Caenorhabditis elegans: one gene and its partner. The protein of the gene in region 2 interacts with the protein of the main gene of each other region in a pairwise test. Each region holds a gene or a part of one and is shown on either strand. Other genes may lie near its edges.

Region 1 (3,683 bases), on a different chromosome or scaffold from region 2:
CTATATTATCCAGATAATTTTGCGATTTTCGTCATGCTAATACGATACCCGGTCTCGATACGGCAAAGTTTTTGATAGATCCAAAGAGGTGTGCGCCTTTAAAGAGTACTGTAATTTCAGATTTTCGTTGTTATGGAATTTGCATCGATTTTTCATAGTTTCAGATAAATAAATAAATATTTAAATATCGAAAAACTAATAAAAGTCTAAAAATTCGAAGTACAGTACACTTTAAAGGCACACACCTTTCAGAATTTAACAATTGTAGCGTCGAGACCGGGAACCGTACTTTCTGGGTAAAAATTGCACAATTTCGCAACAAAAACTAACCTGCAGGTTTACAAACCGCACTTTTTGAATGAAGAACTGTCAGAATCACGAACACGATTGTAGTGATGATTCCGATACCTCCGAAGACAGCCGAAACTATCATTAGCATGCTAGATGGCAAAATAAAGTGCTTTTCACTCATCTTTTTGATGAATGAGCGTTTTTAAAAACTCGAAATGAATAGTTTTGGGTTCCACGTTATTTTTTATTTTTGTAAAAGAAAAAAACCAATCATAATTATAAAAAACAAAACAAGAACAAATTAATTTAATTTGATTGAATTAAATACACGTTCAAATAAATTTCTACCCTCAGATATACATTTTAATGAGTTCTTCTCCAACAGCTTCAGGCTTCATTGCGCCGACATCAGTAATGATCAGTGTCAGAAATTCGGGTGCGGTGTAATCCACATCGGGATGCTCCAATTCTAGGTTGTTTCTCTCAATTACTGATGTTCGATACTGAAATAATGAAAGATCTGATTGAGTTATTTGATATAAATTGATTACTTTGAATTCTTGGGGAATATCGGCCTGGTTGAGTGGGAACTCCCGTACAAACTTGATAGTTTCAGCGCAAACATAGACGGGAACATGCCGTGATTTTGCGATGATACAAACATTAACAGTTCCAATTTTATTGATGATTCCACCGGTTTCCATGACTCCTTCAGCGCCAACTAGAACTGCTTGAATTCTTTCCATGACATATCTTAAAAAATAAAAAATGTATATACGTTTTTCTTATTGTTTTTTATAATTTCCACTCACCCCACACAGCTATCTAGAACTAAAGTAGTTGGAACTCCATTCTTTTTCAATTCTTCAAACACTAGTTTTCCTGAAGCATCCGGTTGCGATTCGGTGACCCAGACATGAAGGTGATATCCACTTTTGTGAGCATCAAGAATAGTTTCCAGAACCACTTTGCTGTATGAGTGTGTCAGAATATTCTAGAAAATACAAAGATTAAAATACATTAAATAGGAATTATTTAAATAGAAAAAAAAACGTACCATATGATGAGTGAAAAATAGACGAGCGCACTTGGAAATTTTGGCTCGAGAACCTCTGACATTCTTTATAAATGAGCGTGCTCGTTGGCGATACAGATCAAGAACTTGAGAAAAATCTTCTTGATCGAGAAGAGCAGCTGGAGCCAGAGAAGTGAATCTGGTGAACAAATCAGCGGCACTTCGAATTGATGTTGAGCTGTAGTCCGTTTTCTCGAGAGCAGCAACTACTTGATTTAGCTCATTTTGAAATTCGGCAACGGTGGTGGCTGTAATTAAGCAAAAAATTAATTGCCTAAATATTCAAATTCAGGAACTTACCGCGACTCCGGTCTAAAACCTCGAGCAGTGTTTCCACTGTGGCTAGACTCGTTGATTTGCTTGGATCGTTTTCAAGTTTTCCACGGAAAGATGAAATAATGCTTTCTTGAACCATGTTAGATGGAAAAAGTCTGCAAAAACAATAATGGAGAACGTTTGTCGTAGAAAGAAGAAATATTTATAGAAAAAATTTAATGAAAAAATAATGATGTAAACGCGCTCTATCGTTACGCAGAGAAGATAAGAGTTAGAGAGTTAGACAGTTTTGATAGTGGCAAATTTAAAAACAAAACATTTTTTTACTTATGTATTTAAAAGGTTTCGTGAAATTTAATTTATTTTCTCAATCTCGAATAAACATTTTAAACATATTTTTTGAGTCAGTCAGTTTACTTTCTACTCTCAACTATTTACGCATCTAAAATCTCCCATTGTGTGGCGAACTAAATAGGATAATAAATAATAATTTTCCTTTTCGAAACTTTTATACTATAATTAATTCCCTCAATTTGCTCCATAATCTCCATTAATTTTCCTCGTGTAATTGCTTCGTAGATCATTTGAATCGCCGCCGTGATACAGTACTATTCGCTAACCTGCACATCTTAAATACCATCGACAATTTTTTAAAAATTCATTTTCCATTTTGTTCATTGATTTCTTGGTTCTTTTTCCATTATTTTTGCCTCAATTTGTGCAAAAAGTGCTGGATATCGAATAATCCACAACGCTTTTCTGTTGTTCTTTCGGTTTTTGGGCCGTTTCTAGATTTTCCTCTCCGTAATACGAATTCTCGTGGGGAAACACGTTTTCCTTGTTCTTTGATTAATTTCTTTTGTACTAACTTTTCGACAAATATTTATTTATACTTTTTACAGAATCAAGCTTGTCCGTTTCGAAAATGGAAGAAGAACCGTACAAAAGAAAGCTAACGAAAGCCGAGAAAAAGGCAAAATATCGAACAGACTACGCCGAACCGTTGAAGTCACGCCGGGAAGTTCTGAAAGCAATTATGAATGGACCCGAGTCTGAGCGGGAGAGAAAAGTTCGAGCCAAAAATCGAGAATTTTTCAACGAGGACTATAGATCAGGTAAACATTTTAAAGTTCTTTTATTATTAAAAACTTTAAAAAACCCTCATTCATAATCTATACATTTAAAGGAGTCAACATCTACGGAATGGCTGTGGATATGATGAAAGCGATGCCGGATAGAGGAAAAACATCGGGACAAAGTTTGGCGGTTTGGTATCTGGAGGATTTTGGAGTTTGGTTAAAAGAGTCGGGACAGGAGACGGAGCTCAGACAGAAATATCTGACTGGAACTATTCAAATAAACGCCTTAGATGTGTGCACAATTGGACAAAAGCAGCTTCTCAGTGAAATCTTCGATATCACCAAAGAGAAATTCACTGAGGACATTACACAGTTGCTAGATGCTGCCATCAAGAAACAAGACTTCTCCGTTGCTGCAGATATGGCTATTCAGTACAATCTTCTACGGGATCATCATTTCGAACATCTTGTTCTTCCATTAATGCTATCTGGCAAAGATCAAACGGCTTATAAATTGATAAGTAACAATGAGAGGATGCAACAGCAGCTTGTAGAGTTTTTTGATCGAATGGTTGGAATCTCAGTGGTTGCCGTTGAAGAGATGCTGAAACCCTACAAGGAAACCAAAATTATGACGATTCCTATGGAGAAATTGACGGGAAAAACGTTGGACAAACTCATTTCGACGATTATCAACAAAAATACTCACGAATACAACTTCTCCAGGGAATTGTCGAAGTTCGCCAAAAACCACTCACAGAATGGGAATCTGAAGGCATTGAAGTTTAATATCAGTGAACGATACGAGAAGGGAAAATCCGATGACAACTATTTCCAGCATATGGTTGAAACTTTTACCAAAGCCGAAGATGTTCGTGAACCTATTTTGTTTTACTTGTGGAGCTCAAATGACACCGAGAAACAGTAAGTGACATTCAAAAAGATTTTTCTTTCTAAAATTC
Region 2 (4,033 bases):
AATAAGCAAGCCGTCGGCAGGCGCTGCACTTTTTGAGTTCTGCCATACTCGTAAGGCATTGATTACAATATGATTCGACTTGATCTCGTGCAAGAGCAAATGCGTACACATTTTCGTGGAGGGCGTCTGGGGGAAGATTCATTGGGAACTGAAAGAATTATTTGAATAATTTTTTTTTAACGGGTTTTTTAAAATTAAATTTTATAAAAAAAATTAAATTTAAAAAAAACTTCATCGATTGTAAATAATTTTCTGAAATTAAAAATTGAAGAAAATGAGAAAAATCGATAAAAGAATCTCTACAGTATTTTTAAAGGCACACACCCACACACAATTTTCAATGTCATTCGTGCCGAGACCATTCTGCAATAATGCGCCCTTCTTTAAACTCATAGAAGTGAATTTGTTTAATCGATGTTTTTCAGTCAATAAAGCCTCATTTTTTGAAAAAATATTTTTTTCGAGTATTAGCAACTCGTCTTCTATAATCGACAATATAAAAATATGAGTTTTCTTCATTTCAATTCATAGAATCAGTTTTGAATGGGAATGGAATGGACGGGAAGAAGGGAAGGAAAAATGTCCGAAAATTGAGAATACACCGAAATAAATAAAATTATTTTGAGAACGAAAAACCGTGAGAAACGAAACTGTTTTCAGAAATTCGAAAAAGAAGGATACACAACAAAAGAAAAAAATGGTGAAATAAAACAGAAAAATGGGCGATATTTCCAATGAGCAAAAAGATTAGTTGAGTCCGATCGTGTTCCAGAACTTGTTGAGCAATCCGTCAGGTGCCTTGCGAACCGATGGGGTTCCCTGTAAAATCTTTTTTAATTGGTTAGAAGGATTGAATCAATGAAATGCTTACGTTTGTTCTTTGATCGGCAGCCAATGGTCTCATTCCGACACCAGAACGGACGGAAATACGAGAAGAACTGAAAACATAAACAATTTTTTGTGGAAATATTAATTGAATTGTGAAAAATTAACTTTTTCTTTTTCACATTTTCAAAGTGGAGTAGCGCTAGACTACAAACTACAAACTTCGCTTTAGCAGATTCAAGTATAAAATTTAGATTTTTATGAATTTTTTACTAAAAATTTCTAATCATACTTGAGCGAGTTATTTGCATCAAAAACATTCGACGAGTTGAGCACACTGTTCTCATTGTGATTAACTGATTGATCGGCCATATCGTTCTCCACAAATGAGTTATACATGGAAGCAGATCGGTTTGCAGCTGCAGCAATGTTAGATGATCGAGCAACAATTCCGGATGCTGAGCCGTTGATCACGTCCTGTAAATTTTAAAATTAAAATAAAAAATAAATATATCCTTTTTACTTACCTTATTTGTGCACTGAACGACTCCAATAAATGTATCCTGATCGAGGAGAGTTCCGTTTCGAGAAATAGCTTGTTGAGCGTGTGTGACACACGAATAGCGCATATGTATGAAGTTTCCTTTTGATGGAGTCTGATGACTAACTACTTCCCCGTGCCGCGAGAATAAATTCAACAAAATCGACACTTGGCTTGGCTGAAATCCAAAAACAGTGACCCAGGTATCAGCTGCGTCGGCTTCTTCTTCCATTGGTTGTTCTTCTGCTTCAGCCAACCTGGATGTGACTCGTTGAGTGATTGGAGTGGAAAGTGGTGTTGATCTGGCAGTGAATGTATTTCGTCTGGAGATCTTTTTCGCTGGTTCAACTTTGTCGCGAAGAGATCGAAGAGGTGGTGCTGAAAATCAATTTTATTTTAAATATTCGCGAAAAAATGTAAATTCTAACCATGCATCGCTTGACCACCGAAAGATGATGTCTGAATCGACTGAGGAGCTGGCTTTGTCGGCGCCGAAAATGATGAATTTCCTCCGAAAGACAAGTTGGCAGGTGTATTCTGTGTTTGTGCCGCCGACTTTTCACCAGATTGCACCAAAGATGGAGACCAATGAACTGATTTAGAGCCCGGTGTATCCTTCAAATGCTGCGGCACTGCCGGTGCAGAAACAGCGAAAATATCCGAACATGGTGCCGATGCAGTGTTGAGCGGGCTAGCGGTGTCTAAATAATTATCATATTTTTGAGAAAACTTAAGATAAACTTTACTTACACGAAGATGGAACAGTTGCCTTTCGCTTTCCGAAAAGAAGTGCCGGCGTAGACTGTTCAACTGGTGTCCCGAAGCTAAAATTAGATTTTTAGTATTAAAAACTGGTTTTTTTTTTGCAAAATAAGAAACAAATTACTCACTTTGAAATACTAGAATTGTTGAGATCCATTGAGTTATGCCTTCCGGATGTATTTTGGTTAAGATGCGAGAACATGGCCTGAATTTCGAAATAAAATGCTTTTTAATTAAAAATTTAAGCAATAAACAAGTTTTTCAAATTTAAAATAAAGAAAGAATTGAAAAATACCGCTTTTTTAAAGTGGAAAACAGGTTCGAAAAGTTCCAAGAAAAAACATTTTTGTTTGAAAAATCAAAGTCCGCAACGACAAAACACGCAAAGCTACGCGCAATTGCGGACTTGAAAATGGAGGGAGTTTAAAATAGGGTTTTTGTGGTGAAAGTTTGCTGGGAGGTTTTCTGCGGGAAATAAAGAGAAAATTTTTTTTCTCTGATCGGATGTTTTGTAATTTTGATGAAGTCGATTTTCTGTTTGAACTTTGATTTTTTTTCTTCAACACTAGACACTGAAAAAAGTGAAATTCGTGTATGGGTTACTGTATAATACCGCCGACCCCTATAGTACATACCTATCCATAAAATATTGAATTCTAAAAAATTCTAGAAATTTAATTACACATTTCAGATGTTTTTGTTTTTATTTCCCTTTGACCTACTCCCTCGTCTAATTTTCGTTTTCAAATTTCAACGAGCACCACTCGTTTCTTCTCACTCCTCCTCGTTTTAATTGCAAAAAAAAACGGAGAAAATTGAGAAATGCACGACGACGGGGTCCCCCATTTAATTAAATTCCTTTTCTGTGTCGTCGACCTTTTTTTGTTGACCACACAGAGCACAACGTTCGGAGAGCTTCTTCCCGCCTCTTCATCAAATAAAATGAGAATTCATTCCTTTTTTGGGAAAGAAAAATGTTTCGTCGCGCACGACTATATAGCCCCCTGTGTCGTATAATATTTGCGGGTTGGTCAAAATGAGAAAGAAAAAAAACCAAAAGATGATGAATTGAATGAAAATTGTATTTAATATTAGTTTTCGGACCGAACCGGATGTAATTTATTTTCAGAAAATGTGGTTGGTTCTGACTGGAGCAGAAGTGGCGACCTGATGATGTAGTCAAACTTGCGCGTCAAATTTGGTGTTTTCGCCCCGCCTCTTAGAAGATGAGATTTTGATTTTTGAACTGAAACTTTCAAACTGTGATTCCCATAAAACCGTACGGAAATTACAATTTCCGTACTGTTACAAAACAAATTTTGGGATAGAGGGAATTATTACGTAGACGTCAAAATTGGGAAAATTTCGTAAAATCTTAGGTCTCGCCACGCCGAGTTACTGTAACTCGTCTCCATTTACGGGTAGCATAGTATCATAATTTTCAGATTTAATCGAAAATTGCTGTCAAGAATTTGAATATAATATTAAAAATGGCACAATATTGGTCCAGTTACAGTAACCCAATTTCAGCGTGGTGAGACCCGAAAACTTTCATCTTTAGACTACCACGTAATAACAGAAATTGAGAATAGAAAACGATGGTATTGGCCACACCCACATAACCGTGCGGAACTTGCAGATTTTGCAACCTCCGCAAGGTTCATTGAGCTCTCATTCTCATAACCGTGCGGAGGTTGCAAAATTTGCAATTTTCGCACACTCTTCTTCTCGTGGAGTACACATTCTCCGATTTCGAAATTTAAGAAAGTTTTTGGAGACGAGGTCACCTGGCAACGGGATCTATGAAGACTAGCGGAAGAACATTATAGCAACGATTCGTTTTTTTTTCGGCAATGTGTCCCAAGTGCATCCCTTTCCATCATTTTTCTTTTTTTATTCTACTCA

Evidence for each region. Proteins that work in one complex are often made in the same cells at the same time.
Region 1: the proteins of npp-19 (region 2) and eif-2Balpha interact in a two-hybrid assay, tested with the Caenorhabditis elegans proteins (one large-scale study listed by BioGRID).

Annotation. Positions count from the first base shown.
Region 1 is NC_003281.10:9,541,240-9,544,922, reverse strand, and holds eif-2Balpha (Translation initiation factor eIF2B subunit alpha), read right to left. Parts: upstream 1,805-3,683; 5' UTR 1,782-1,804; coding exon 1,667-1,781; intron 1,615-1,666; coding exon 1,349-1,614; intron 1,286-1,348; coding exon 1,104-1,285; intron 1,045-1,103; coding exon 843-1,044; intron 795-842; coding exon 642-794; 3' UTR 519-641; downstream 1-518. Other genes in the region: ZK1098.9 (uncharacterized protein), read right to left, coding at 331-472; Exonuclease mut-7, read left to right, coding at 2,568-2,757, 2,829-3,645.
Region 2 is NC_003280.10:10,796,147-10,800,179, forward strand, and holds npp-19 (Nucleoporin NUP35), read right to left. Parts: upstream 2,334-4,033; 5' UTR 2,331-2,333; coding exon 2,257-2,330; intron 2,191-2,256; coding exon 2,117-2,190; intron 2,068-2,116; coding exon 1,795-2,067; intron 1,745-1,794; coding exon 1,353-1,744; intron 1,303-1,352; coding exon 1,118-1,302; intron 939-1,117; coding exon 872-938; intron 829-871; coding exon 748-828; 3' UTR 507-747; downstream 1-506. Other genes in the region: set-14 (SET domain-containing protein 14), read right to left, coding at 1-142.